Linked DNA regions of Danio rerio. The protein of the gene in region 1 binds, or shares a complex with, the protein of each later gene. Links are inferred from orthologs where the notes say so. Each region holds a gene or a part of one and is shown on either strand. Other genes may lie near its edges. The genes, in order: cacna1c and stac3.

Region 1 (16,545 bases):
ATTGCATTGGGGTAATGTAACCCAGAGCTCTGTCATCGATTTATTCATTTGTATCCAATAAATTGTTACGATTTTTGACATTGAAGAAAAACCTCTCCAGACCTTTTCTCTTGAACACGCATGGAATTGGCTTGATATTCCAACAGCTGCCATTTCATATTTTTATAGAAACTGCGATTGTTTCATTTATTCATTCATTTTCCTTCGGCTTGGTCCTTTTTATTCATCAGGGGTCACTGCAGTCAAATGAACTGCCAACTTATCCAGCATATGTTTTACATAGTGGATGCCCTTCCAGCTGCAACCCAGTAAACACCCATACACACTCTCATTCACAAACAAACTATGGCAAATTTAATTTATTCAATTCACCTATAGTGCATGTTTTTGAACCGTTGGGAAAACTGGAGCACCCAGAGGAAACCCATGCCAACACGGGGAAAACGTGCAAATTCCACACAGAACTGCTAACTTATCCAACCGGGACTCAAAACAGCAACTCTCTTGCAGTAAGGCGACAGTGCTAAGAACTGAGCCACCGTGTCGCCTCTGTGATTGTTTCAATTATAGGTTTATTTGAGTCTACAGATTGTGAAATTTGAAACATTTTAGAAGTTTTAATGTCACTTTTGATCAGTTGAAGCTGTCCTTGGGAAGTACTATTACAATGTTATTAAGTCTTCATATTGTAGCAATTCTGATATATATTTTGACAAACGCAATACTGAAGACTCATGTTTCCGCACATTTCTTCAACTAATTGTTTGAATTACTGTGGGCAATACAACGTGGCATCCCTCTGCCATCTGTACACTCATTCATTCGTTCATTTTCTTTTCGGCTTAGTCCCTTTTATTAATCAGGGATCACCACAGAGGAATGAAACTCGTTCTGTACACTGTAACAGGTAAAAAGAGTCTTTGAAGTAATATCATGCATATTAATAAAGTTGCGTCTTGTTCACAATAGAGCATGCTGATTGATTTGAACCAAGTCTTTCTCATGAACTAATGAACATATGTGCTAAAACTCAATGGCGTCACTTTGTACAGGCCAGTACAGACAGGCAATCTCCACGCTGGAATTTACACAATGATCTCGTAGCTGTGACGTTGTTTCAAAATTTCTTTATAAACTGGTCGAACAAATTTGCTCTAAACAACACAAAAATAAACAATATTCACTTAGCTAGATATATAATAGTCTCCTAATAGTATTTTAGCAATGTGGGACACATACAAGACTGTGAACATCTCAGAAAATGCGCTTTGGTGTTTTGTGAGTCTTTAAAAAGGTTTTAGCCTGAAATACACGTATAATTGTGTAACTGTAGTGTGTTAAGTAATACATTGGTAATAAAAGAGAAAGAAAATACAATATGTGGGGTGTGGGATAATATTTTAATTATGTAAAACAAATAGAATAACTTTTAATTGGTTTTAATCCTGACCTGCTGACTGGAAAACACTCTTGGTCTTAATTTTAAGGTTTAAGATTTTTTAAAGGAACTTATAAACATTCCAGCATGTTGATATAAGAACAAAAATAACACCATAGAAAAATAGAATATATATATGTACACTTTTGTTTGTACATTTAAACATTTTAAAGAGTTGACTAACATGAAAACTATTCCTGCTGGCTTGTAAAATGATGAGGGTGATTTCCTGTCATTTGGTACAGACCAAGATTTACATGAATTGTCATGCCATTCATCATGTTATTCCTATTATATTTGAGGCCAAGTTCTGTTTTTGAGTTTCTTTCGGGGGTGTATTTCAGATATGCAAAAGTAAAAATGCCTTCATTAAAAGTCTTTACGCTCTGATTTGAACAGACAGCACATTTCCTGTCATTATCTAAAAAGTAAACATAAAACCCATTATGCAATTCTCCTTTGTTAAAATATTAAGATGCTTAAGATTGCAGCTCGTGAAAAAATAATGTAAAATTCAAAGGTGATGTGGCATTTATCATTCAGATTAGATTATTTTGTGGAAGTTCAACTCATTAGATGCTACACTCGAAACAGCAGGGTGGTCCTGAGATGGTATGCAGATATGTGTTCAGAGAGTGAAAGCTACATGTATATGGTTCAGGTGGTTTTCCTGCTTCAAAAAGGTTTTGAGCTGGAGTCTGTTGTGAGACGGGAGATATATGCTTCATAGATGGTGTCAAGGAATGAAGCATCATTCTGAATCACAGAGAGAAACAAACAATTAGAAATACAGCAACAAACATGAGCCAAGAATGCCCCATTGAATCAATCAATCATTTAATGTTTTACACAGTGTTTTTGTTTTCACTTTTGTAACTTATATCTTTAGAGCAGTGGTTCTTAAACTTTTTTCATCAAGTACCACCTCAGAAAAAAAAATAAAATAAAAAATTATTTAAAGGAAGATTAATTCCTATTATTAAGAATATTTATTATTGTCAGCCATTTTAAACATTAAAAATAGTTTGAACATTAACACTGTACTGTGCTTATGGGTAAATAAATAAATAATTGAATAAATAAAAGTCAATGTTTAAAATAATTAAAATGGTAGGCTACTGTTCTCAAAGTAAAAAGAAAACTGCTGTACTTAAATGTCAAGTAGTAACAAATAGTACCCTATTCATTAAAACCTGAAAATGTTGATTGGACCTCATAAACATGGGCTATATGTCATCATATTTATATATAAACCATTTTTGATAAATTTTGAAATATGTGTTGTAGTGTTGTTGTGATTATAAAAGGACTAATTATAAAGTAGAAAAGAGACAGGAGTTAAACATAATTATGAAGGTGAATTATTAATATTACTTGTATAATTAATTAGTATAAGTATCAGTTTGATACACTTAAGAAGAAATTATCGTGAACATTTTTAAATATTAAATAATAATAAGCAAATTATTAAAATACGCATAAACTAATTTGAAAAGGAGAGGGTAAAAATAGTCTAATACTTGCTTCTGTAACAGAACTTTTTCTTTCAGTCTGAAAAACACCTTTACACTTTAGCTATGAAAGCACTGATGCACTGTGTGATCTCTGTAGCACTCAGAGCAAGCAGAGCTGCAAATCATCAGCTCCATGTGGTTTGGTTTATTAATAGTTTTTTGCATATAGATGTCTGTGACAGTAGTTTTTACTGAGCTGATGGTTTATGTGCATATTTGTTGTTCCTTTAGTGTAAGTAAACATCTTTTTGCAGTATTTGCACACAGTTAGTGTTTTATTAGGCTCACTTCACTGCTTTCATTTTACGCTGCCCTGCCACCCCACCTTTTGCTCAGCTCTGATGTGCAGGTAAAGCCAGTTTCTGCCTGTAAACAGCGCCCTCTCTGTTCAAAACATGTATCGCGATTCGTTCAAAATTTTTATCGATTTGAATTGTCACAACTGATTTTCATCCGACTCACAGTAAATCATTACATCTCTATTTATCAATGAAGTCTGCACACATCCTAAAGCAAATACAATGCTTGTGGCATTTTCATCACCCAGGATCTGTAAGCACTACATCCTATAAGAACACAAATTTTATAATATAACTTAACTAGATTATATGATTCATAATATTATATAACTTGTTTATAACTTAGTATTATTGTTCATTAAATTATAACTTTGATAAAACAAATCACATAAACTTAATCTCCAGAGCTGCTGATTCATTTCATATGCATTTTTTAGTTTTAAGAACTATTGACCTATCCTGTACACTTGAAACACAATCATCTTCATAAGAACCCATTAAAAGCTTCACTCTTTTAAAACTGTTTAAATGTAAGTTTGGCTTGTTAAATTTCATCACTTGAAATATTAAAATTAGAAGGTTTTGATTACTTGATTACGATTAAGAAATTGATAACTTGAAATCAATCAATCATATCAATTAATAATAACAATACTACTATTTATAATAATAATAACAAATAATAATAATAAAATAAATGCATGATTTAGGAAAAAATGAAATAAAAATTGATTGTATCCTTAATTCTAACCTTGATGAGATGGAGCAATGTGGCCTGTAGCTGAGACTTGCTAAGTGCTCTTGATTCAACTGGTTCTGGATCTGCTCTTGTTACTTTAGTTTGAGCAAACACACTGGGGGAAAGAAGGAGGGTGGGGGCTACAGTCGCTGGGATACGCTGTGGTGACATCACCTGTACCCACACAAACACAGTAAATGACAGGTTAAACGTGCTGCTGCAAGAAACACAAAGGCAACAGATGCATAATTAATCAAACTAAAAATTTGACCTGTGTCAGATTGGTTTTGCTGAGATTGGAGCTGCTGGTGGTCAGACCTGGCTGTAGGACCTCCTGTTGAGGATGCAGCTCTTGCTCCTGCTGCACTAATGTGAGCTTCTGTAGAAGCTCATGAGGTGAAACCACATTACTTGTTACTCCAGCAGAGGGCACTTTATTTGGGACAAACAGATGCTGTGCTGGAAAGGGCCCCGAGGGCTTCGCCATGGAGTGGATTTGGGGCCCCATGCCAACTTCCCCCTGCTTTAATTGGATGGAGGGCATCACTGTAGTCCCTGCCACAGGAGGAGGGTTCATTAACAGTTTTTGTATTGGGTCAGGCTGGATCTGGACTGCTCCGTTTTCACACAGGCGGCTCTCTGGGGATTCAGATAGAGGCTGCAGCAGTGAACCAGACATGAGCTTGTGGATGGCTGGACAGTGCTGCATGGGGGTGCTGGACACCACAGCACCACCTGCTGGAGAAGGGTCATCATAAGACAGAGAGCGGGCCACTGAAGACCTTGCTGGGCCCATCCTGCCAACAGATAAGCTGGGCTGTGTTGAGCCCAAGTCTGGTTTTGGCTGAGCACCAAACAGTGTGACAACTGACAGATGTTTTGAGTCCATCTCAGCATCCTAAGAGAAAAGGATTACATTACATTACATTTAAAAAGGGCTATTTATTGAATCACAAATATGCAGAGAGAAAGAAATCGCACATGCTGAGTGTGTGCCTGAATGTGTGTGTCCTGTGCTGGTTTGAGGGGAATGGGTTTGATCAGATGGGGGGTTTGACCGTAGATGATCCCACCACTGCCAATTTCCTTTGGCTCACTGAGTTTTCCCTAAAAAGAAAAAGGGGCACAGAAACAAATTAAGATTTACAGTGCACTGATGACCTCTAGTGCATATGAAGCAACTTAATGCTTGTACAGAGAAAAGTCTCGTCACCTTGTCATAGTCGTTTCGTGCTTTAGTGAGCATCTGCATTATATCCACACCCTGCTCTGCTGATCTCGGAGAGAGACAGCCAGTAGCAATTTGCGCCTGTAACTGCTGTTCCTGCCCTGCCAAACTGACACAAGAGAAAAAGTAGGTGTACAGTACCTGACAACAAGGTTTGGAAATCAGTGAGCAATTATTGTTGAACAGTTTTATATTTAATACAGGAAACAAAAGATTTTTGTGACATTTGGCTTTATTACAGGTATTTAAAATATCCACCAAATGACCAAATTACAGATCATATTATTTAAATAATCAGTGTTTCATCGGCCGCAAAATAAACAGAAATAATTAAAATTATGTAGACAGTAAAATTTCAGAAGTGACAACAACATTGAAATACTTTTTTCAATTGTAAACATGTCATTTTTAGAAATTTAAATTTAATTTGGTTTGTTAAAATCAGTTGCCACTAGTGTTGGGGAAAGTTACTTTTAAAGTAATGCATTTCAATATCGAGTTAGTCCCCCCAAAAAGTAACAAGTTGCGTTATTTAATTACTTTTTAAGTAATGCATAACATTACTTCTGTCATTACTTTTTTTTTTGCTGGCTGTTTTTTTTAATAAAGGAGCTCTGTAATTAACAATGCACTGTTTAACCCATACATTCATTTACCTAAAACAAAAAAAATTAAATAATTTAAAATTTAAATAATTTAGCATGATGTTATTTTCTGAGAACTTCCTGACCCAAGAGCTATACATGCCGTATATACACACTTTATTGACGTTTAAAGCAATGTGTATGGTACTTTTTGTTAAATACTTTTGTTTTTTGTTTACTTTAGTTAAGTAAACAAAAATGTGTGGTTTGGTACTTTTTGTTAAATACTTTTGTTTTTTGTTTACTTTAGTTAAGTAAAATCACTGCCCATCAAGACAATTCCCTTTTTTCTTTTCTTCAATGTGTTCAAAATAATGAAAATACTTCCATCACAAAAATGTATGACAGCCATCTTCGTTTCTCTCTGTTCCTACGGGAGCACAGTCTCTCATTAATTCAATGTGACTAAGTTAATTTTAATTCAGCAATTACATTTATTAAAAGGTGATTAAATAAGTTAAAAAGTAACTTGCATTAGAAAACAGTAACTCCATTATTATTACTTAATTTTTTTAAGTAATGTATTACTTTTTTTCGTTACTTATATAATATTACGTAACTTGCGTTACTTGTAACACAGCTGTACATTTCTAAACTGTTTACAAAACATATTTAGGCAATAAAGAAGGTATAGACAACTAAATTTAGTTCCATTGTGAATGTGGCCTAAATGGAAATTATATGATAATAGAATGGACTACATGCACAGCTAGTATTTTTAGCCATTGATAAGCTACCAGTGAAAGCTTTACGTGGCTATTTTCAATTTCATTAATGTTCTTTTTACAGCATCAATGTTGTAATGTAATTCAAATACAATCAGTTAAACAGACTTAATCATTCATTTAGTTGTTCAAGTGTAAAATGAGATAAAAGCCTCCAGGAGCTTCAGGCTAGCGCAGAAACTCCATTAAAAATACTGTGGTAAAATAAAATTTCACATTTTAAAGACGTGGTGGGGTAAATGGAATTTAACGCAATGCTTCTTGTCCGGTCTGAGATCCACTTCATATTGTATATCTACCAGACTGTGAAGATCACTGATTTTGAAAGAAATCAGATCTTAAATGTGGCGAATTTGTAATGTAAAGACCTGAAATGCAAATACCCCATTAAGTGTGTGACCATGTTGTGCAAGTTTGCAGATGAAAGATACACATACTTCTTCATGAGTTCTGCTATACGCTGACAGTCCTCTTTATCATAGAACCAGATTCCATAGATGGACACTGCCAAAAAAAAATACACATACATGATAATATTAACCTCAGTCACTCATTTAATTAAAATCAATCAAGAGCAGAAGACTATAATTGTTAAGCACCGTATCAGAATTGTCAGTAGAAGAAGTCCATACATGCACTTAAACTGCCATCATACATACACACTCCACTCTAGCTGACATTCCTTTCCCAGACAGTCCAAACTCCCATGTGCCCAAGTAGAACTGGAGCCAAGTGCTCTGCCAATCCACCAAAATGTCGTTAACCACCAAAATGTAGTTGCCAGATGCTCGCATCAACATTCTGTTGCCTTTTTGAAGAACAACTGTATTGGGAACAACTAAGAGAAGTTTCAGTGACTGTGGTCTCTCATGAACTAAACTTAGAGACTGGTGCTGACAGCCGAATCAGGACCTGTTCCATTCACCTCTAGAAGAGATAACAAAATCCAAGGCAGTAAAAGAGAGGGAGAGGAAGAGAGAGAGAAAGAGGGCTGGTGCTATATTCACAACCGTTCATTCTCTGAGCGGAGAGCACCACACGGGTCAGCGCCTGGGGAAAAAACCCAAACAAAATACTGCCTGGGAACTGAGGAACACAACTCAGAGAAAGAGAGAGAGCAAGGAGAGGAGAACAAGGAGAAGAACGAAGAGAAGGATGAGAGGATTTTGGAAGCGCTTTTGAAGTTTAACTTGGCAAAATACACACACAAAAAAGAAAAGAAAAACAGAGACCTGAACCACACATTGAGTCAGACAGAGTGCAGGAGCATTTGCTGCGAGTTTTACTGAATGGAGCTGAATCCACATGAGCACTGAGGAGACTGTGAACTTGTGACCGACTTCAAATAGACCAAAGCTTCAATCTGCTGAGGATTCAAACCTCAGAAAAAAAAGGAGATGCTGCGGGGGCTGTTCAGTTGGCGCAGGCTGAAGCATGAGCGACTGGAGGAGGAAGTGGAGGTGCGGTTCAAAGGGAAGCTTGTATCGGAGAGAGAGCTGGGCTACACACATGTGCGGCCAGGAGGTAAGAGCTTTGTATACTTAACAGTCCTGCTGAAAGTCTCCAGCTATCCCGTTACAAATCACAACCACAACACTGCGTTTGTTTAAGAGATGAGTGGACAGAATCCAGCACCCTTGGCACACGAGGAGGAGCGATGGACAATGCAGGACTTCTCGCTGTGTGAAACCTAATTAGTAGTGTTTGTTATGGCCATATTGGCTCTACCAAGTATTTAGCTGTTAATCGGGTACTGAAACTGTTTGATCCAGGTCATGAAGGATTTAGGGTGGGACAATATTGGGGGGAAAAAAGTAACTATTATAAGAATTACAACTGCAATTTGACTTGAAAGTTTTATAACAAAAAATGTCAAGGCTATAAAAATATCTTAGCGACTTGTTTATGGCTGTAAAATATTTATGACATGCTTAAATGTTTTCCTTTTACTGAAGAGCCGTGGTTTACTCAAACACGCTCATACATAAATTCACAGCCTTTTGATATACTCACTAAGCCTCATTGCGATTTTGGTTTTATTTTAATTAAACATTCAGTCATTCTGCAAAGAACTCGTGAGGATTGTTGAGAACACCGGAGTATAAGCCAAAACACCTTAGCAATCGCATTGCAATGCACAAACAGCCACTAACAACATTTGACAAATGCAAATCAACTTCTTGGCTACCTCTCACAACATTCCAGCATTGGTGCAGCAAGATTGATCAGAGATAAAATCCCCTCAAGGGGAATTAAATCAGTGAAATAGTCTGCCTGTAAAATCTCACCTACATCAAAGTAGCCAGCACAAAGTTTCCCATCAGACCGTCAGCAGATGCACAGAATTTCACGGTCAAAGCTCATTATTGGACTGGCTGAAACATCAGGATCTACAATGATTTGTTCAATAAGCCTAAAGTAGTTTCTCTACTTTGAAAGCCTAAAGCTTTTCTCCATGCACTCTATTTGCAGGTCTCCTTATCATGAATTTCCTTGGAAGCCTGTGCATGTATGCGTGTTAGAGAGGGTTGTTATCTAATCAGGATTGGTTGGTCGGGTCTATGATGCTGGCAGGAAACTGAAAGAGAAACACACACTTCTCTGCACCATATAAGGCACTGTGGCTCTGGGGCCTCTCAAACAGGCCCGCCTGCCAGCGATCTCTGATCTCTCGTTCTCTCACACACACATACACTCACCAGTATGACAGCTTTTTCAATCTAGACACACTTTTACTGCAATTAAGCTCTGAAGTTTTTGGATGGATGCACTCCCTCTGCTCCCTGCCCATCTACACCTTGGTTATTAACATGTGTTTCTGTTTGACATTGATCCTCCTTAATACATGTCAAAATTCATTTATATCAGTCACATTTGAAGGTGGTCAAACTTTTGTCATTAGCACAGTCGGCTGATGTCTGTGAACACCATCTGTGTGCAGCCTGATTTTTTTTTTGTTCTTGCAGTCTAGTGCATTGAGGGGCCAGTGATTTAATGTGCTTCCACATTCACAGTCAATTAATTTTGAAAGCGTTGCTCACTAAACTGTGCATGAGATGGAGCAGAAAACTGAAAACAAAGTTTACCTGGGCCTTAAACACTCATAAATCTGAACATTAGTAAAAGACTACTTTCTCACCAGACAATCAACCTCTGAGCATTCCAAATTAAACACACATTACCCTTTGTTGTAAATGGTGATGCAAGCACGATCCCTAGACCTATTTGGAAATAAATAAATAAATAAATAAAAATGTCTGGTGATCTCATTTGAACAACCAAAAAAACTATATCACTATTTCACTGCCACTATTAGGGCAGAGCAGACGGATGCTGAGCTGCTTATCTTTTTGGAGGACGCCCAGCACATATTAAATGTGTCTTTATAGTGAACCCCCTTGTCTACCCCTACATAACACAATCATTAAGATACATTTTATTATTGACTAAAATTGTGCACAAGCAAGTTTCCTTTATATTATATAGTCTATTTAGATAATGTATAGCCTGTGGTGCAAACAAATAAGTGCGTAATATATGTTGACCCTGCACCTCATCATTTCTCTTGTTCACTTTCTCTTTCACTTATGCATTCCTTTCTAAAGCTCGTATCCGGATATAAACTAACATCATCACTGTAAGCAATAGTCACAATCTATTTTTTAGATGTCTGGATGATGTTTTTTTCTGTTTTAAAAACATTTTAGATGTGAGTCAGTCTGTTCCTGCAGGCGAAATAGAGCAAAGTGAATTTTAAATGACATCAGTGATAGCTTATTAATATGACCAAATAATAATAATTAAATCACTCTTTATCTTGCCATCTTGACTACCTCATGATAAATTTGTCTAAAGCTGCATGCGCCAGCCCAGGGAGAATGTAATTGATGGAGGAATATTAAAAAATTTCCATTGTAAGCCAAAAAAGGTTTTGTGTGCCTGCATGCAAGCAGTCCTTCTGAAAGAGTTTGTAGCATCGTCGTAAAGCTTTAACTTCAGAGAAGTGCATTTGTTTTCCTGATTAACTGATTACAAAAGATAACGAGCCTGAATGTCCTTTTGTTAAATTTAATTTGACAATAAATCAGCTAAATTCAGGTCCATTCATTTTAATTATATTTTTAATAAAATAAACACATTTACAATTCTAAGGCTGAATTTATGTCCATGCTTTTTCTTTATGCCATTAAACTTTTTTCTCGTCTTTCCCATTTGTCATTTCAAGTGTTAGCAGGTTTGGCATGCTGTCCCGAGAGAGAACCCTGAGCTCGGAGATAATTGAGCCCAGGGCTCCCTCCTGGTCAGTTAGCATGTAAGGAGGTACGAGATCAGGTAGTTCTTGAGAGCTTCTCTTGGTACAGGAGGAAAGGGGAAGATGGGGGGCATGGGGGGATTCTTCAAAAAATTAAAATGAGGGAGTAATGTTAGTCGGGCTATTTATAGTCAGTTTGATATAACGTGCTTCTCTCAAAATTAGTTTGTAAAACTTCACTTACTTTCTTAATTGGTCAATATATTATCTATAATGTCTATATTTTATTGTAACTGTATTTATAGGGCTAAATTAAATAAGTTTAGGTAACTGCATTTCTGAAATAATGTGCTTCATTAAAATATATATCGCTGACATGCTTTACCATAAACATTTGTGAAAAATGTAAAGGTAAATAAATATCATCTAGATAGAATACATTTACTTGACAATCTTATTTTTTTAACCCAATAATGCTGATTATCACCCAATAATTTAATGTCATAATCAACATTAGCCTGCTCAGGAGACATCATTGATATGTGATAATATTTTCTTATCACCCAGCCATCTCTCTCTCTCTCTCTCGCTCACATCACATATATTTTGACACACTGTATTATGTAAGGATTTCTTCATTTAAATCAACTATACATGCATACTTTGGGCTTAGCAATATTTTTGCAGTCTTTTGGTTTAGTCTAAAATATTTCACTCTGATGACTTTGAGCTCGTTCAACAAAAAGACAGACTTACAGCGAGCGTTCCTGTACAGGAGAAATGGATGCTGCAGCTGGAAATCCAAGTCCTTAGTGATTGGTTCAGTCAGGTTGTCCATACTCAAGCGATTGAGGATGGTAAAGCCATGCCTGGGGGAGGCAAGCCTGATACACAGAGAACTGACGTTAAAACTCGTAGCATGAGTGGGAAACTAAAGCTTATGAGTCTGAAGGACCTACAAAACTGCATGTGGGTGTTGTGCAGTGTAAGAGCAGACAACAGTGGTACATCTAAATGCTGAGAAATATTGTGCAGGTTATTTCTCTGACCCTTAGAGCCACATTAGATCTCTAGGGCTCTGATTTAGGGCCATACAGTACATGTGGGTGTTGCTTCACTGTTAAAAACATGTAAGAATCAAACAAACCTGCTATAGACAAACAGAGTTCCCTCCACATTTGTCTTTTCCTACAGAAAACCACAACAAAAACATACATTGATCTATTTATGTTTAAGTCGGAGAAAAATAATATTACAATTTAAAACAATAATATTATGTTTGTAGCAGTAGAAATAAATATCTCTATCCACTAAGATGTTATGTTAAGGGAGATGATCTTGTTGTTTACCCATTCATTGGTGTTGTTGTTAAAGGTGTAGAGTGCTACTTGGCTGGCTAGGTCTGTGATGCTGCTGATGTAGGGGTCGAGTCTCTTCAGAGCAGACAGACTCATTGATAAACAGCTCCCACCGCCACCTGTGCTTGCAGTCATGGCTCCAGCTCGCTTCTGTAAATAAAAACTTATGCTCTTTATTAAGATGTAATTACTCTTTATTAACATGTAATTACTGTACACCTCTATTGTATGGGTCTTTTGGTTCAGTTTGCATGTTTACCAAACAAATATAGTATTGTTTTATCTATCTATCTATCTATCTATCTATCCATCCATCCATCCATCATCTATATGTGGGTGTTGTTCAATAGTTTTGGGATAACTTTGATGAAAGGTTTTGATCCACTTCAAATGTTGTCTACTGTGTACAGAAATTAATGCGTCAGACCTTTGCAAGATTACAAAATGTAACTAAATTCGTTATTCTTAGTTATAAGCATTCATTTATATATTAATTTATACAATGAGTAAAAATGTGTGTGCATAAAAATACATTTCTTAAACTCGCATTCACTAAAATGTGGTTGACAAGCTAACCCTTACATGTAGTTACTATGGTATAACGAGTGGTTATATACTGGCCCGAGTCTAAAGAGTCCACCTCATCCTCGTCTGTATTTATTCTGGTCACTTTGACCGGTTAGGTCACCGTTGATGTTCATAGCACAAGCGCTGCGGGACATCGTACACAAGTTTAACACTGCGCTTGAGCGGTTTGTTAATATCCCTAACCCTGCATTAATAGTGTTTTTACTTTTTAAAAAATGGTATACATCATACATTCATAAGTTTACGAGTGAACTAAATAAGGCCTTGGTGAGCTGCGGTTGCTCTTTTATACATCGTACTGGAGTTAAACTTACCTCCACTTAAAATACGGCACAAATCCTAAAATACCTTTAAAAAGCAAAATTTAACTCTGTAAAAACAACACTTAAACAGCTTATTTAACGATCCGGTCTCCTTGTGTATGTTTTCAGGGATGTGCAAAGCAGTAAACAAGAATATAAGGCTTTATTTCACTTGTCTAACTCTCGTCCCGCTGCCGTCATCGCCATGTTTGCGCTGTCAAGAAGACAGAACGAGCTAATCGCCGAGCGCGCGCAAAGGGGAAAATAGTCGAGACAGAGTTACGGATGAGCCCCCAGCTGGCTCGAGCTCACCTGAGAACGCCAGCACGTTCGTTTACATCACGCTAAAGCAGTGAGCTGACGCTGCAGACTTTCTGCACCCAGGGGAACCCTTGAGGATACGAAATTCTTGCACTCCTGCACTATTGCTGCCTCGGTAAAGACGATGATTTGTAGTTTAGTTTTTGTTGCCTAATTGTTTGCGTATTCTTTCCAAAAACAAATGTTACAGTCCAGAGGCCCTGCTGCATTTGTAAAGTCCAACCGCTGTAATGTTACTGTGATTATTAAAATGGCACATTTCCCACCTGCAACTAGCCTACATAAATCTATAAATCTAAATGTACTGTTGTACCCCATTGAGCAGGGGCGGACTTGGGGCTCTAAGCAATTTCAGGTGTGGGGCCCTAGCGATGAAACTCAAAACACTCTCATTCTCTAAAGATTTTTTTTCAAAATATGTTTTAAACTCCTTTAATCTTCCTTAATCCTCTTAATGTAAAATTAAATACAATAAACTCACTCACACACAAGTTCACAAACTATACTGTATGTACAGTTTACTTGACATATTTATGATTAGTTTTTACATTTGCTGTACGGAGGAACGTTGCACTATTCATGGGGCCCCCGGTTTTAAAAAGAAGTAATGTTGTTAAAATCGTAATGGTTATAGACATTGTCATTTTTCAGGGCCCCATAATTCCCTGTAAGCGACTGCTTACTTCGCTAGTGAAGTCTGCCCCTTGAAATTGAAATAGGGGTTGCCAGTCTTTTAGATGTCATCATTATCGTCTTTAGTGGGACCTCTATCCTAAATGTAAAAGACACCTATACAGGTTTTCCCCATAAGGACCATTTTAAACCATGAAAGAAATATAAATGTATAACATATTGTTACACTGTCTCTCTATCTGTCTGTCTGTCTGTCTGTCTATATTTATTTATTTATAAATATGATTATAAATTTATTTTGTTTATTTAAAATGTTAGGCATTGTATTATTATTATTTTGTATTATCTACGTGTTGTGTTTGCTTTACTATGCATTTGTTTTTCTGTTTATATATATATATTTCCACACACGCACACAGGCTACATTTTTCTATGCTTTTTTTCTCTTTAGCATTTCCACAAAGCTCATTGCACTGCCCCATTGGCACCGGAGCCAAGATTGAAAATCCTTTCCTCTCAAGATAATTTACTCAACTGCACTTTATAAAGGTACCACTAGAGGTCATCATTACCTAAATACTCGTGTTTAATTAACTTGTTCAGCATCATTTCCAACCTATTTCTGAGAGAGCACAGCAGCCCATGCAGATTTTTTTTCTAATTCTGTTAAAGTGATCGTGATGTTATGTACACATCTATATGTTTTAGCTAATTAAACACTGCAGAAAAGTTTTAACCAACATTTAGCCTACATTAGATCTTAAACTTTTATATTGATTACACGCTCAGTTTAAACTGATCAAGATTCTAGTAGACAAGAAAAAATTATGTATATCTTCAGTTAAGCCTAGTAAATTAGTTTAGTAGTCTGTAATTAAAGCATTAGTAAAGGAATCTTGTATGTGGCTGCAGAGCAATCACTGCTTTTATCATATTAAGTGTGCAGACAGATACATGATTCGTCTTGACATTTGAAATGTGGCACTGGAAGAGGATTTTTATAATCTTTGAAGAGGCACGGTAACCAGTTTGCCTTATGTACCGATGACCATGTTTTTTTGGACCCCTGAGTTCCCAGAAACTCATTTTATTACAGGGTGGCACCGAGAAACACATTGCGAACATTTCCTCTGTGCTTTGTATAAACATACCAAAGTTAATCAATTATTTGGGGATGCTGATGGGAAATCGCTGACCTCTATGATGAACTTTTGTCCAAAGCAAAATTCAATCAAAGAACTTGGCCGTAGATTGGAGGTCTGTGAATTGGGAGAGTTGGTTCTTCGTTCAAACAGAGGAAGATCTGAAAACCTGCAGTTCTGTGTGTCTCTTACAACCTCATGCATGCTTCTTCTGACTGATTGAATATTCAGCATATGCAGTTCTGAGCGAGAGTGAGAGAGAGAAGGATAATCTGGGGGCAGAGGATGTCTCTTGGGACATGTGAAGTTTTCTCATGGCCGGAGGGAGGGACCGAGGAAGGGCCTGCTAAATTCAGACTAGACCGTTTGCTGATGAAAGATTCTCCGTCATCTTGCAGAAATTCCCAGGCCCCAGTCGTCCCCTTTTATCAGAGCCTGCCAGTCCTCAGGATACAGTGTGTCCTGCCATGGGAAGATCAGGTCGGTTAAACCTTAGCTGAAGGGAAAAATCATCCTGACACCTGCTGCTGGGGGACTCAGCATTCACCTCAGAAGTGGCATGCCAGCAGGAAGTGGATAATAATGTCTAAACATGGTGCTCAGAGCCATGACTGTGAGCGTATTTATGCCAGATTGGTTGTGGTGCAAATCATCTTCTGCAACAATTCCGGACTGTAAAAGAACTCAAATCTCCTCACTGTATTGGAGCTGACTTGCCTCGATCTTCCCAAGTTTGCTCTCTCTCCCTCAAGAGATACAGCCCGTGTGGAAAAGCGTGGAGGATTTATTCTCCTTTCTAGCGCAGTCACATCTGGAAGCAGTCAGGGAGTCTACAGGGGAGGGGGTTTGGTCGTCAGATCATTGCAGAGAGGCTGGTGGTGTGCGCTCTCTCTCCGCAGGGCCACAGACTGACTACTCCCCTTTCTCTCCAATATGGACTGGACGCGGCCGATTCTGCACTCTATTTCCTAACGAGGCGCGACGCAAACTACGCCTGTTGTGGGACATCTCAGATGGAATCGATCATATGTGAAGATTGAAGCCCGTGAGATCTGGAATATACACACCTTTTACCTTTTGCTGCGCTTTCTGAAACGGTCTCTGAAACTACGCCCGCTTTTTTTCTTCTTCTTCTGGCTGTTGCAGCATCCTTTTCGATCAGTTTGCGAGCGAATCGCGCCGATTTGATTATCGATTATCAGCCAGCGGCACTGCTATCATGTTTCCTTAGGTAGGGCCCGGATGTTCCAAAGATGCACTGGTTCGTTTTCTTAGGTGGCTCCTGCGATTATCCTTTCCTGATCTTTAGCTCCATAATGGGGATCAGGTAATATTAACTAAGCCGCAAGAGGAGGAATATCT
Region 2 (16,109 bases), on another chromosome or scaffold:
AAATCCATGTCTTTATAATGAAGAGTGAAGTTCCCGTCGAGGCCGAATGTCTTCATTATGACGTCCTCCAGCTCGCTCACGGTCGCAGGAATCCCGTGAGGAAGGCACAGTTTTCGGATGTCGTGATCATGAAGGATGATGCGCAGTTTAGCAGGAGCACACATTGGAGCTCCTGGAAGAGAAACAGCAGCTCTGTTACAGCCATAACACAGCCCGTCACATACAATAGACTAATGTAAATAAATACATGTAATGAGATTTTCTCCAACTGTAGAATCGAACATGCAGAATAATCTAGCAGCATTTCTAAGATTAATAATATGATGAACAAGGATTACTTGACCAACCTGTCTGCTGCTCAGCATCTTCATTCTTCACAAAGAAAACCTCCTCAATGATCACGTCTTTACTCTCCTCTTTAACAAACGCCATCTCGCCACGTCTCTCTTGCTTCCCCAGGAGCTTTTAAGATGAGGATAATCATTAAGAAATTATATTAATAACTACAAATGAGCATCTTATGTTGCTTTCGACTGCACTCATGAACATCAACTTCATACATGAACATGCTTTACAACTCACAGCAAAAACCTAAAAAAAGTGCAGATATTAACATTTCAGCAGCAAATTTAAACGTTTATCAATTTAAAATATGAATAATTTATCAAAATGAATACAAAGTTAAATTAGATGTAGTTTAATGTATAACTGATAAGCATCTATGACACTTCAAAAACACAAATATGTTTTAAAGGAATAAAAAAAAACTAATTGGCTGATATTAATGCTTAAATCTACTAACCTGCACACTGATGAATTTAAAGCAAAACAAAAAAACTAAACCCTGAACTTATTATTTTTGCACTGAACCTCACATCCAAGATCTTCTGTTTTTATTGATGATCAAATATATAGACAATAATCCTATATACAGTATATAGTTATCCATATGGGTCCCAAAACAAGACATTTCATCATAAAAGAAACCAATCAGACCATTAATTACTTAAATCACAATTACTTTTAGACAATTAACCATCAGGCATATTTCATTATCATGACAGCCCTGCTGAACCTAATATTACATCACGAATATGGAAACATTTATATTTGTGTTTCAGTTGAAATTGAATATATTTGTTGTCTTGATGGTCAGATGAATGCCATTATAATACCTTTAATAAACAACAACTACATTTAGTATTGTTTGGTGTCTGTTAATTATTTAGTGAGTAAATGCACATTCATAATCAGATTATGTGTCATAACCAGACTATGTATGTGCTCATATAAATGCATTCAAATATTTTGCTTTATTAGCATACGATAATAAACTACTCAACAATAAACTGATCATTTCTGACCCGATATTCCAATTTCATCAAGATGTAAACATCTTAACCCATGTGCTGTTGTATATTAAAGTGTTAAATGTGAAAAGGAAAGTTGTTCAGTTTTAATTGCAGATTTAAGCATAACATATTTCCTAAAGGAAAACACACATAAATACACAGCGCTTCCTAGTGGAAAACACACACAGCAAGTTCATCTTTTTCTTGGCTCAAGAAATTATTATATGAGCTATTCCAGCAATATGGATGTGACATTTGCAGTAAAATCTCAAAACATAAATTGACAGAGTAAACATTATATTGAAACATCTCTTTATATTTTTCAAAACAACTAACCGCAGAGTTATAAGAGCAGAAAAATACCAACCTGTAAACATGTTTTATATTTTAAATGAGGGAAATAAACATGTTATGAATGTGACAAAAAAAGCCAGCAAGTTTACAGCAAACTTTGTAGATATTCTGTGAATTAAACTGCACAAACCAAAATAAACGATGCTAATCAACAGGAGTTAGATCATTATAGAACGAACGTGACAGATTTGATCTGATTTTACATTTTTGCATTTACGAGTCATTATGGATGTGACATATCTCAATTATGGATGTGACGGATGTGAAATTGCACTTGTGTGACGTTTGTAACTCAAACATAATTGTTAGAAAACACAGAGACATGTTTGAGTATTTTTAAAGCTCTGTCAAACACTTGCCAACGCAAAAAAAAAAAACAACAACAAAAAAACGCAGAGACGGTTTCTCTGTTTTGGTGAAAACTTATTTTTTGTTCATGGCTGGGCTGACATTTGCACGGAATTGCTCATATAATATACATAAATAAAAGGGTATTACAGTCAACAAACTTCAAATATGAGAAGAAAAGGGAATCTGTGCAAGTTTAAGGCTGAAATTCTGAAGCATGTTTCAATATTCAATTTAAAAGAACAGCATGTGTAGTAAAAATAAAGCTGAGTGAACTGTGTGGGCATCAGCGGTGTATAACCTGAATTCACCACAGGGCTGTCAGTGCACTTGACTTTACTGACACCATTTATGAGCGAAAACTGATTTGTTTCGGTCAACTGCTGATTATCAGTGTACTGTTGTGCATCCAAATGTGTACAATAAACACTATTATTGCTTACACAATGGCAAACACTAATGAGTTAAAGAAAATAGCTCACAAAAACAGTAAAAGTGGACTGTACGACAGAACAAAAGCAGACGTGATGATGATGATGATGAAGCAGACATTACTCATGCAGCTGTAGCCCTATAATTAATCGAGCGTGATGAGCTGAAACACCCGCAGCTGGCTGTTTACTGGTGTTTTTCTGTTCACCTCCAGACTAATGAATAAGTGTTTGAAGCGCGGTTAGTCTGGTGTTCTGGAGCTGATCTCGTGTCGTTATGATCAATAACAGCAGCACCTTTACTGTTCTTCACCAGCGGATGCGCTTTAATCAGAACACTGGCGCTCATTATCGCCTGATAAGATGTTAATGCGGTGTGTTCGATAATAATGAACCCTTTTATGAAGACATTAGCAAGTATACAATAGACTTGTCGAATTAAACACTTTAAACGCTTGAAAACACAAACCTTTCTCCAGCCGAACCACAAACACGGGAGCGCGGCTCGCGCCTGTGACGTCATATCGCACGACCAAAATAAAAGTCCTGTTCACGTGTTAAATTAAAGGCTTGTAGGAAGACTATTCATTCATTCATTCATTTTCTTTTCGGCTTAGTCACTTTATTAATCTGGGGTCGCCACAGCGGAATGAACCGCCAACTTATCCAGCACATGTTTACGCAGCGGATGCCCTTCCAGCTGCAACCCAGCACTGGGAAAACTATTGTATATTGTTTACAAAGAAGGAATTCGATTGGTAACATGTTTTCATTCATTAACAGTGCTCGTTTGTGAACGATTTTGTTGATACTGTGTAATATATATATATATATATATATATATATATATATATATATATATATATATATATATATATATATATATATATATATATATATATATATAATCACATAATCATCATCATTATACATAAAAACCCAGAAAGATTTGTACACCTGAAATATATTACTGACCTATTTCTGGTATATTGTTGTTTTGATTACTCATATTGCTCTCATTTTCAGTTGCTTTGAATAAACGTGTTTGCCAAATGCTTATTGAATGTATGAATTGTATGTGGCTGTTGTGGAATAAAGCTGTAACAGCTGCCACAAGCCCCTGAACATTGGCGTAAATAAGCTTTTAATAAGCTAAATCCTATTTTCTGGCACTTGAGCCAGAGAGTCACAGTAATAGATGAGATGTGCTACTGTATGAATATGTCATTTTTGTTTTTTGAGATATGATGAAAGCTGGAAAATGAAGCTCATGTTCTCAATCTTTTGTTTAGTATATCCATTATTGTAAATTTAGCAATCAGTGTAGCAATTAGTGTCCTGGGTCTGCCCCGAGGCCTATAGGTAGGCGTTCAGGAGGCTTCTGAAACAGATGCCCGAGCCACCTCAGCTGACTTCTCTGGATGTGGAGGAGCAGCGGCTCTACTCTGAGCTCCTCCCAGGTGACAGAGCTCCTCACCCTATCCATAAGGTTCATTCCGCTGTGGCGACCTCTAAGCTGAAGGAAAATGAATGAATAAATTAATATATTTCCTGTGATTGGTCTGTACATGTTTGGAGGACCCCAAGGAACCTAACACATTTTTTTTCCCCAGGGCCAGCCCGAACACCAGCCGGTGACCCACTCACACCTGCGGCTTCTCCAGGATGGACGTCCAGCGTTCTCCAGCCTCAATTGGTCAACTGGTGAAGTTCCTCCTCTGTCGCCACTGTCCTGCTTGGTTTGGGACTTGTGGAGATGCACATGGATGGATTTGCTCTTCAGTGTTTGGACTCTCAGCAGTGAAGATTCAACCACACTGAACTGAACTGAGCTCTGAACACTGGACTGACACGGCTTCAGTTCACTAGAACTTCTGTGTTCAGCTGCTGCCACACAATCTACACTGTAGAAGAGCTGGAGTTTTATTCACTTGGCTAGAAAGTGCTTCTTCATTAATGAATTAATTAAATATATTTATTACTGTGTGACATTAGAGAAGTCATAATGTTTAGTAAAAAGGTGCTGTTCAGCTGCAGGCCTGCTGTGAGTGTGTGAAGGTCTGCATGTGTGCCTGTCTGTCAGAGGGACAGATATACAGAGAGACTCGTATTACTCTCCGTCATCTAACACCTGCTGAAAACACTCACAGTGACACACACACACACACACACACACACACACACACACACAAAGTGTTCAATCCTCAGTTCAGAGCAGTCTGGTTATTACTGAGTTAAGATTATCTTCTGTGCTGAAGCAAATATTAACTTATCTGTATCAGGGTCACACCTCACTGACTGAAAACTGGGATTATAGCACAGAAACACATCATCTACAGGTGTGTATGCTTGAACTTGCTTGTTCTGATGGCATGATTTAGTGGTTGTGTGCATTTAAATCTTTTCTATGTATAGTCTAGAAAACGTTTCTGATTTGTTCCTGTAGCTCAGTTTAGTGAGAGATCCTGAATTTGTTGGCCTCAAAAAAAGTTTCCAACTCAGATATAGAAGTTGTGTGTGTGGATTTGAGGATTTCATCATGCTCTCATGTGTACAAATTAACTGTGAAACCTTTTTGTGTTCATTTATTCCATAATAAACAGGTGTATGTAGGGTGTGACATGATCATTGCACTGCATTCGCCACCCTGAAATTACTTTATTTTCAATAAGAGAACCAGAAATCTGTCTCAACACGGAGTGGACATCCTCAGATTCCCAATTTCGCACTGCAAGGTCAACATTAGAAACACCCAGTGGTGGAAAGAGTACAGTAAAATCATGCTTAAGTACAAGCACATACTTGCCTAAAACTGTAGTGCAGTAGAGTAAAAGTGTCTGCTGTAAATATTACTCAGTATAGCTTTCAAACGTACTCAAGAGTAGGGAGTATTACACTGTGAAAAGCTGATGCGTTTACATGTAACTTGCACATGTGTGTGTGTAAACGTAAGATTCTGTAGTGCATCTAGTGATTGCCCAGCAGGTACACAATGTCATAAGACGTTAATATTAGGTTAGATTTAAGTTGTGATGTCGGGAAACCAAAATTCAGTTTCTAACCAGTGCAAATCAAATGACGTTGATATTTGGTTGATTTTAGGTTTTTAGAAAGTGACCAAAATCTAATGTCGCGCCAACACCTTAAACCAACATCACATTGACGTCACATACTGATATTATTTCATCAGGTATGGCAACCGAAATCCAACATCTGATAGACGTCATAGTGGTAACGTCCACACAACGTCAAGCTGTAACATCATTAGACGTTGATTTTAGGTTGATTTCAGGTTTAACGTTAGACATTGACGTTGGCCTGACATTGAGTTCTGACGTCAAACTGATTTTCACTTCCAAACAAAATGCACTGTCTCCAAGATGTTAGTGTACAAGGTCAATCTGACGTCATGTTGACGTCTTGTGCCTGCTGGCTGTTTAAGGCCATTTGGCTCATCATATAGTAAACATTTGCCATCTTCTCATCAGTGATGTGCATCTAAACAGTCTCTGGGTCAGTGAGTGTGAAGATTGTGGACATCTTCTTTTATGCACTTTAAATGCTTCTAAACAGTTTGCTGCAATTATAAATCATCTTGAGGTAGTTCATTATGAGGTGACTTACCTTCAGTGTGTGATTTGATCAGACAGGAACCACAGGACTGATCTCTCTAATCTCCATAGACAAGAAAAAATACAGTAGTGACTGCAGGATGAAGGAAATTAGTGGAGTAAAAGTACAGATACTGCAGTAAACGTACTCAAGGGAAAGTAAAAGCCCACATTTATAAAACTGCTCTCTAAATTACAATTCCTGAGAAAACTACTTTGTTACAGTAAATTGAGTATTTGTAATTAGTTACTTTACACCACTGGAAACACCTAATCACAGCGGCTAATATGTCAGTGATCATAGCACTTTACAAACATGTGTTTACAAGTCAGAATCTAATAATTATGATGATTTGTCAAGAGAGATATGAATACTCAGACCACTTCAGGAGGTGTTCTGATGTGCATGAGAGATGTGCTCTCGTTTAAAACCACATATTATGCGCACATGACGATCCACATTTCTTACAGGATGCTCCACTGACCTGTGGGGTTCCCCAGGGCTCTATTTTGGCCCCGTTGTTATTTTCCATTTGCATGCTCCCTCTCTGATCTATTTTGAGAAAATGTGGGCATCGTTGCAGGAATTACACACCGGTTTACTTCCCAGCACACAATTTAGTTTTTAATAGACGTTTAATAGACATCTAAGCATAAACAGCTTGGCTAAAACAAGACTAAACTTGGGCTGTCAGTGAAAATCTAATAGACATCTAAGAATAGCCCAAAACTAGACTATAGTCGTCAAGTGGACAGATTAGACAGACTCTATATGTGTAGTCCTTCATTTCTGTTTATTTGATGGCTAGTCTAGTTTTAACCTATGGACGTCTATTAGATGTTCAGCCCAAGTTTATCCTTGTTTGAGCTGAGATGACATTGTTTGGACGTCTATCAGACATCTATTAGACATCTTTTAAAAACAAAAAATGCTTGCTGGGTTGCTAGTGGTTAATGTAAACGCTTTTCAGAATCAGACAGATATCTGATCAGAGTAAACGCATGAAGAGAGCAGGTGTACACAAGCTGGAGTTTTCTTGAAGCTGGTGAGTGTCTCCTGCAGGTGCGGATTTCTGCTGACTGACTGCGTCTGAAGAGGCTGGACTGATGGCTCAATATGACCAGTGAGTGTTTGACAGATTAAACAGTCTTTCAGGAGCATTATATAAGATTACAGCTATCCTAATGCTCAATGTGTTCCAGACTGGAGGATAAAGACTCGCTGGACATCCACGATAACCCTCCAGCGCCAGAGAATGTGGTGAAAGAGGACGACAACACTGTACGTATGATCACCTTCTCTTATTAGCTCTCATTCAACACACATTTGTAAATACAGGAGTGAATTATTTGTGTAGCACAAAGCTTCCTGAAAACCCTATTCACAAACACTTGTCAGAACTGAGATATATTTAAATATGAACTGTTGTTTAACTTATTAAACTAAATTAATTAATAAATAAAGGGTGTGTGCTCCCTCATTCATAATCTGCATAAACCCACCTATGCCGGAAATCAAAATGCTCTGCCATCACTTTTGATTTGATTAAATATTAGTCATTTTTAAGCCTTGTTAAATTGAACTTTAGCTACTGTTTTTGCATTCACTAACATTAACTAATGGACTATTATTGAGTAGTGTTTTCAACGTTAGTTCTGCTGGGGCTTCATAAATGAGACCTGCAGTGTGTACGGTGAGCACACAGCCGACTCGGTCATCCTCTCAGGTGTATTTTCTCATCCTCAGGTGTATTTTGTGTATGATGAAGAGGTGGAGGAAGAAGAAGCTCCTCCGCCACCCACCCCGGAGCCCATAGTCCAGGTCAACGACAAACCACACAAATTCAAGGACCACTACTGCAAGAAACCCAAGTTCTGTGACGTCTGCGCACGGATGATTGTTCGTAAGTTCACATTGATAGCAAGTTACAATAACAGCACACATATTGTCTCAACCCTTTGCCTCATATGTTTGCATTGTTAAGGTAAACTGTTCTTGCCAAAATGAATGATCAGATACACACATAAGTTGCAGAAGAAACTCTACGATATGAAACGTATGCGCTGTGTGGTGTCTCTACTTTCAGTCAATAATAAGTTTGCGCTGCGCTGTAAAAACTGCAAGACCAACATCCACCACTCCTGCCAGTCATACGTGCAGTTCCAGAGATGCTTCGGCAAAATAGTGAGATGAAAAAAATATTTAATATACATGATTAACCCAGACGCTCAGCTTGAGTTTGATTAATCTCCCTCTCTCCATCAGCCTCCTGGGTTCAGACGGGCGTACAGCTCTCCTCTCTATGACCAGGAGATCAATAACCCGGGTGAGTCACATGTGTTAATAATCAGAGGTCATTTCTGATTTACATTACCATTTAGTCATTTAGCAGAAGCTTTTATCCAAAGCGACTTACAAATGAGGACAAGGAAGCAATTTACACAACTATAAGAGCAACAATGAAGAAATGCTGTAGGCGAGTTTCAGGAGTGTAAAGTGTAAGAAGCAAAGCATTAGTAATTTATTTCTTTTGTGTAATCCAGTTAGTGGTGGAGCCAGAGAGGCAATTGCAGATTAGGAAGTGAAGTGGAAAATAAACAGTTGAGTTTTTAGTCGTTTCTTGAAGACAGCGAGTGACTCTGCCGTTCTGATGCAGTTAGGGAGTTCATTCCACCAACTGGGCAGATTGAGCGCGAGAGTTCGGGAAAGTGATTTCTTCCCTCTTTGGGATGGAACCACGAGGCGACGTTCATTCACAGAACGCAAGTTTCTGGAGGACACATACATCTGCAGAAGTGAGAGCAGATAAGGAGCAAAGCCAGGAGTCGCTTTGTAGGCAAACATCAGAGCTTTGAATTTGATGCGAGCAGCAACTGGCAGCCAGTGCAAACGGATGAGCAGCGGAGTGACATGTGCTCTTTTAGCTTCATTAAAGACCACTCGTGCTGCTGCGTTCTGAAGCAGCTGAAGAGGCTTAATTTACATTAAAACAACTCTTGATGATGATGATAAGGGATGAAGCTGTGTTTAAAACACATTCAATATGCTGATAATTGTTGAAATGTGTACTAAACAACGAGAGATGAAGCTCTCTGCTCATGTAGTCTGTTATTTTAAAGCTTTAGCTTTCGGACTATAGATAGATGCAAAAGTTATAGATGCTCCCTCAAATAGTCCACTATTTAGGAGAGTATAGGGGTTAATTTTGAACACAGCTGTTGATTAGCTTGTTCTAGTGTGTTTGATGCAATAGTATCTGAATGCAGCCTTTATGATGCAAGCTGTGATTATATCACTCAGCGATGCAATGTCAGACACAGTGCACTCAATGGAGTGAGTGACATCACTGTGACGGGTAGGGTAAGGGGTGGGGTTTGGTGAGAGCATTAAAAAGCATTGGATGCAGCCCAGATTGCATCTGCGACAGCTCTGCATCCAGACATCCTCGATTGATGAGGGTTGGACTAAACTCTGCAGGATTAAGGCCCTTCAGGAACAAAGTTCTCCATCTCTGAACTGAACACTAACCTACAGAAGCATGTCTGTGCACAGGTCAGCAGAACCGCACAGATCCGGTGTTCGACACGCTGAGAGTCGGAGTGATCATGGCCAATAAAGAGAGGAAGAAAGGCTCAGAGGACAAGAAGAACGTAAGTGACCACAGGATATCAGGATGTTACTTATGTACCTGGCAGGTCTACTGGAGGATTGGGCAAGCAGGAGCCGATGGTAGTGCATCAGGAGAAGTATGAAGATGAACTGAGTGAAGATGCTGAGAGAGAGCAGCTCCTTCACAATTCATCTTCATAAACACCACGGTATACTTCCAATAAAGTGCTTGTTTTCTTTGTTTGTAGGCAAAAAGAAGCTTAATAAGACTGAGTGAAGTAAACTGTTTCTGTAAAAGAAGTGAGACTTTAGGACCAGACAAGACCTGCAGCACAGAGACTGTTGTAGATGTGTCTGAGCTCTCGCTGTTACCTATTATGAATGAATGAATGTATGTGTGTGTGTGTGTGTCTCCTGAAGATGATGATGATGATGATGGAGGAGGAGGAAGCTCAACAGCCCAAAGAGGATGAAGAGGGCGCTGAGGGTAAGCATATCTGCACCGTGTGGTTTTGGGTTGATTTCGACCTTTATTCTGACATGTGCGTCTTCCTTCAGTCTCTCTGAGGTTTTGTGGTGCTGTGTTCATGTGGTGTACAGAGGGGTATGGAGGAGGCAATTAGCCTCTCCTGATGAGGAGAGGCTACCTGATGAGCCTCTTCTAGTGTGTGAGCATTTAAGGTGCACAAGTAACGCGCTCTGCGCTGGACTTTAGACCTGCTTTTAGATGATCTATTGCACAGTCCATTTTAGTTTCTTAGAATAGCAGTGCTCCAACAATGCGCCTTAACACACCTCCTTTTCAGACCAGAAAAACCCATGCGTCCACAAAGTGGTGCAAATGGATTTATTATTTAAACAACATGGCACAAATTATGAAAATTACTGTTGCATTGGTCTGAAAATAGCAACACATTGCGGCATACCCGTCTTCTGCCTTATTGCACCAGGTGTATGATAAGGCCATAAAACTTGGTCATGTTTTGAGACTGCTTGGATAAAACACAGTCCATTATAAAATGATCTTTGTTTGCAGTGTGGTTATCACAAATGATGTAAAGCATGTTAATGAGCATGTTTTCTTTGAATTCTAGTGATGTCTTGAACTTTAACTACCTTCAAACATGAGCTTGGCCTGCTAATTTAGTTGTTTTATTAACGAGAAAAACATTTTGAAGGGAGGTTGCATCCACACTGGCTTTATGTATGAATTACCTACAGAATTAAGTGCTGAATGGGCATACTGTATACTTCATTGATAGGGAAGCAAGATGGAGACAAGAAAGACAAAACCGCAACAGATGACAAGGTAAAAGACTGCTGTGCTGTGCTGTGTGTGTCAGAAAAGAAAAATAATCCTCTTTTTAAGATTGGACTGGCATGTCAACATTAGGAAGCCTTTTCCTAGCTTCATGAGCCTTGACTCCAGAATCTTACTGGTATTGCCTAAAAGCTTCAAGTGTGCCTGCACTGACATGAAATTCTGTTCTTACTTAAGAGTCTGTGTCCTGTTTTTAGTCCATTATCTAAAAACTCTTAAATCAAGAAGCATTTATAGACAAGCAAAACAATAGTGTTGTTTTCAGAAATAATGAGTCAAAATGAAGAGAGTTTTTCATTCAAACAAGCAGAATAATCTTATTTTAAGCAGAATGAGATTGTTTTGGTTCCCCATTGACACATTCTTTAGCTTGTTTTAAGGAAAAACTTGCCTAATTTTGACATATTATTTCCAAAAAAAAGACATTTGAGAAAATGCTTCTTGATTTAGGAATTTCTTTATATTTGCACAAGAAAAAAGACACAAAGGGGTTTTGCAGTGTACTAATGCCAATTCAGTTTCTACTAATATTTAATTTTACTTTCACTATTAATATTTTTAAGAGGTTTTTCACCTTTATTATGACAGGACAGTAGGGAAGTCAGACAGGAAAGCACCGGGAGCAGAGAATGGCAAAGAATCTGCAAATGACCTTGAGCCGGGAATCGAACTCGGGTCACTGTGAGCACGTTGGTGTTATATGTCAGTGCACAATACCACTAGGCTACTGGCGCAGACCACTTCCACTATTAAAAAGCTAATTAAAAGTATAATGTTGTGTGTCGACGCCAGTAGCCTAGTGGTTAGTATGTTGACACAAAGCACCAATGTGCTCACGGTGATCTGAGTTCGATTCCCGACTCAAGATCCTTCCCCATGTCTGCTCCCCACACTTTCCTGTCTGTAAAATCTCAACTGTACTATCCCAATAATGATGAAAACCCCTAAATATCGTTATATAAAAAAGGTTTAATGCTGTGTAAAAGGTGTTGAATACTATTTTTTTGTTATTTACTGTTTGTTGTATTTTTGTGGGTCAAACATTCACTCATTAAATGCTGCTTGTTCAAACTACTGATTTAAAATGAGTTGAAACAGCACAATATTCAGCAGTTTTTGAGACACGTAATTGATTTATGATTTATGATTTATATTTTATCTACTTGAAGTTGTAAAAACTGAGCTGGGACCACTTGAAGAAATTGTGTGGAACCCAGTCTTTTATCCAGTGTTTGATGGTTGTGAGTGCACTTGTTTTGCATTTAATGACGGTGGGCATTGCTTTAACAGGCAGAGATGCTTCAGCGTACTCATGATGGAGTCTGAATCTGCCTCTGCTCCTGATCCTCCTTTAAACTCTCTAACAGACTGTATTTGATGATTGCAGAACAAGAAGCAGCAGCAGACCTTCAGTCAGTCGCATTATTATATGGCTCTGTATCGCTTTAAAGCCATCGAGAAAGATGATCTGGACTTCCAGTGAGTCTCATACAGCACATTCACATATTTAATATCAGTCAGAGTCATGAGCCGTGTTGACATGCACATATTCTCATGTAAACGGTGGAAGATGGAATTTAAAATGCTTAATGAAACACCAAGATGCAAATGAATTGTGGAAATGCTCAAAAACTGATGCGCTTTTATCTCATATGAAAATAGCAAACTTTTTCTGTCTGATTTTTGCTCCTGTTCATCAGCCTGTGGTGATTCTGCTCTCTTTGACTCATTGATGGAAACACTGCTTTACTCATAAATGTTATATGAAATATTCCTGATTTACACAAGTCTAATGCACATCTTTTGTGTGTGTGTGTGTGTGTGTGTGTGTGTGTGTGCACGTGTGCGTTTCAGTCCAGGAGATCGTATAACTGTTTTGGATGACTCTAATGAGGAGTGGTGGAGGGTGAGGTTTTTAATCTATTTATTTGTTTTATTATTATATTAATCTTGACGGCTGTACTTTCCTGTTCTTTTTGGGAATTTCTCCAACATTTTTGTGATCTATTCATGTTAAATACTGCCTTGTTATATTTATCTAGGTTCATTTATTACCTCCCCAAAAAAGTTACAGGCTGCATTTTTAAGTAGTAATATGTAGGAAATATAACGCTGTAATGTTAGATATTAGCATTTTGAAATGATGAGAGGAGAACTGGTGTTGGAGAACATAAGTTAATATAAGTTAATTAGGGTAACTAGGCAGGTTAGGGTAATTATGCAAGTTATTGTATAATGAAGTTTTTTTCTGTAGACTATCGAGAAAATTATCGCTGAAGGAGCTAATAATACTGACTTTAAATGGTGTTTAAAATATTAAAAACTGCTTTTATTCTAGCCGAAATAAAACAAATAAGACTTTCTCCAGAAGAACAAATATTATCAGACATACTGTGAACATTTCCTCAATCTGTTCAACATCATTTGGGAAATATTTAAAAAAAGGGGGGCGAATAATTTGGACTTCAACTATATATATATATATATATTCACATAAATTCACATATATCATATCAAATTCACATATATCACATATATGATATTGCATATCCATATATATCATATTTTTTATATAGTACATTCTATATTTAAATATATTTTCTGTAGCCTTCTGTAAGACACTGTATATGGAAAAAATGATTTTATCAGTTTTCTGTTGTGTTAAAGGGCAAGATTGGTGAGAAGACGGGTTATTTACCCATGACCTACATCATCCGGGTTCGAGCTGGCGAGCGGGTTTATAAAGTGACCCGATCATTTGTGGGAAACCGAGAGATGGGCCAGATCACCCTGAAGAAAGACCAGGTCAGTCTGAGCTGATGGAGATCTATAGCTGTGCCTCCATCCAGATATTTCTATGTGCAGTTTGGATTATCACATAAAAAATGCATGACGTAGACGCCAAGATGCGCATACAGATGGAAAAAGTGCATGAAAACTGATGTTCACATCATGACTGGTATAAACGTCTCATTCAATAAGAAAAGAAGTGTGCATAAACTACAATGGACACTATTTCACCAGATAATCCCAGCCATCAATATTTATGTGTACACTTGTATAGCACTAGCTAACTCCATTAGTGTCTGTGGGAAATCCTGAGAGAAGTTTTACTTAAAGGCAAACAGAGAGTTTCGACAGACACCATGAAATAATAAATGTTTCCCCACTGCTATTGTTAAACCTTTTGATTTTAAAGTTAATATACTTTTACTCTGTGTAAATATTATTGGACAGCAAACTTAAGCAAACTAATCAATTTAAATTAAATTAAGTTAATATTTCTACACCTGTTTATAAGGGCTAATTCACCCAGACATGAAAATCATGTTATCATTTACTCTCCTTCAACATGTCTCTCTGTCTTTCTTTCTTTCTTTCTTTCTTTCTTTCTTTCTTTCTTTCTTTCTTTCTTTCTTTCTTTCTTTCTTTTTTTCTTTTTTCTGATGAACACAAAAGTAGATTGAAAAAAGCTGGAAACCACTGACTTCTATAGTATGTGTTTTACTGATTGGTATGTGAGCAGTCGTCAGTGTGTTTGACTGTGTGCTGGTTCTGCAGATCGTGGTGAAGAAAGGAGAGGAGGTGAACGGATATTTGAAGGTCAGCACTGGCCGTAAACTGGGCTTCTTCCCTGCGGATCTGCTGCATGAGCTCTGATGATCAGCAGAGAAGGATGAAGAGAGATGGAGCATGCACACAGCGGCTGCGTTACACTCCACTTTTACACACACACTCACAAACATCCCTTCACTTGTTCCCTCAGCGAAATCCCTGCCGCTATTATGAAGTACATACCTGTTCATCAAGTGAACGAGTGAAGATTTAGATGTTGACCCTAGCTTTTGTCAGATTTTTCAAGTCTGGTTCATATGTCCAATATATGTCCTAGAATGCGATGTGATTGTGACGTCTCAACAGTGTAGTGCTCAAGTGCTCAAGGGCTTAGGGCACTCCATTTAAACCCATTCAGATGCTCCGCCAGTAGTGGACACATATGTAACCTCATTAATGCTGTACATCCAAGGGAACGAGATGAAGGGAAGTTAGTGAGTCAAGAACATAAAATATTGTACTGGAACGCAGCCCCGGTGTCATTTCAACACACAATACACTCTTCCAAATAAATGTGCCATGAAGAGCCAAATCAGGGCTTCACAGTCATCATTAAACAGACATAACTAGAGTAAGCTTTGATTTGACATGCCGTCCCATCTGACACTGTGAAAAGTCTATTTTAGTTTTTATTTCTGTTGAGGCTGAACAACAGCATAAACTACTATCACAATGATGACCACAGGTGCTGATTATGTGCTGTATTCAGTGTTAAATGCTCCTAATGTCAGTTTAAACACCAGTTTACATGACATTTATTGCTGTACTACTGAAAGCAGCAGCAGATCGTTCAGATCTTCAATACAATAACCAGCAGACACTGTGAGAATGAACATCAGGACTGAGACTCAAAACAACATCATCAGTCTCTCAGTAGACTATTACTGATGTTCAAGAGCTTTAATATGCATCGACTAGACTAAAAGCCGTGATCATTATCGGGGGTGCGGTGGCGGGTGTTTAAATAGATTGCTGGTTGCTGCGTTTGGTACAGAGAGGGTGAAGGATGGGGGAATGTCTTTAATAGAGATTGTCATTTCTAATTTAACATAACTGTTTGATTGATTGTTTTATTTTTGAGCTACAAAAAAGCTAACTGAAATGAAATGTTAAGTGTTGTTGATTAATCAGATTTTTGTCACTCACTGGACAGAGGAAACTGCAGAAGACATCAGTGAGTTAATCAAGGCTGGTGCAGCTGCACTAGTGTATCCAGCATTGAACTCTGTTGGGTTATAAATGAAGTTGTTCATGTTTTTATTGTAATAAGTTCATTATAAAATATTCTAATATATTATGCATTCATTCATCTGATAAAATTTATTTGTAAATATTATTAAGTTAGGAAATTTAATTGAACTTTAATGTAACACAGCTTTGTTTATTTATCTTCAGCCCACAGCCCTTAATCAACTTTGGTTTTTGACTCTTCATGAGTGAACGTTTGGAGTACCCCTGTCATAGAGG

What was found.
Region 2: cacna1c (region 1) and stac3 share a complex: the UniProt entries of both Homo sapiens proteins name them as parts of the calcium channel complex. The link is inferred for Danio rerio from reciprocal best matches to the Homo sapiens genes CACNA1C and STAC3.

What each region holds. Positions count from the first base shown.
Region 1 is NC_133179.1:20,896,430-20,912,974, forward strand, and holds the start of cacna1c (voltage-dependent L-type calcium channel subunit alpha-1C), read left to right. Parts: upstream 1-7,592; 5' UTR 7,593-7,984; coding exon 7,985-8,111; intron 8,112-8,875; exon of another isoform or gene 8,876-9,124; intron 9,125-11,595; coding exon of another isoform or gene 11,596-11,723; intron 11,724-11,986; coding exon of another isoform or gene 11,987-12,027; intron 12,028-12,188; coding exon of another isoform or gene 12,189-12,332; exon of another isoform or gene 12,333-12,360; intron 12,361-13,099; exon of another isoform or gene 13,100-13,306; intron 13,307-16,038; exon of another isoform or gene 16,039-16,545. Other genes in the region: dcp1b (mRNA-decapping enzyme 1B), read right to left, coding at 2,114-2,194, 4,003-4,164, 4,262-4,888, 4,972-5,097, 5,204-5,327, 7,025-7,091, 11,596-11,723, 11,987-12,027 and 1 more. UniProt on the Homo sapiens protein: Pore-forming, alpha-1C subunit of the voltage-gated calcium channel that gives rise to L-type calcium currents. Mediates influx of calcium ions into the cytoplasm, and thereby triggers calcium release from the sarcoplasm.
Region 2 is NC_133184.1:259,984-276,092, forward strand, and holds the start of stac3 (SH3 and cysteine-rich domain-containing protein 3), read left to right. Parts: upstream 1-4,676; 5' UTR 4,677-4,824; intron 4,825-7,067; exon of another isoform or gene 7,068-7,159; 5' UTR 7,160-7,203; coding exon 7,204-7,220; intron 7,221-7,299; coding exon 7,300-7,378; intron 7,379-7,843; coding exon 7,844-8,000; intron 8,001-8,183; coding exon 8,184-8,281; intron 8,282-8,362; coding exon 8,363-8,423; intron 8,424-9,649; coding exon 9,650-9,747; intron 9,748-10,126; coding exon 10,127-10,193; intron 10,194-10,968; coding exon 10,969-11,015; intron 11,016-12,414; coding exon 12,415-12,506; intron 12,507-12,881; coding exon 12,882-12,933; intron 12,934-13,694; coding exon 13,695-13,832; intron 13,833-14,588; coding exon 14,589-14,687; 3' UTR 14,688-16,109. Other genes in the region: si:ch211-166e11.5 (sterile alpha motif domain-containing protein 3), read right to left, coding at 1-172, 348-462, 2,955-3,008. UniProt on the Homo sapiens protein: Required for normal excitation-contraction coupling in skeletal muscle and for normal muscle contraction in response to membrane depolarization. Required for normal Ca(2+) release from the sarcplasmic reticulum, which ultimately leads to muscle contraction.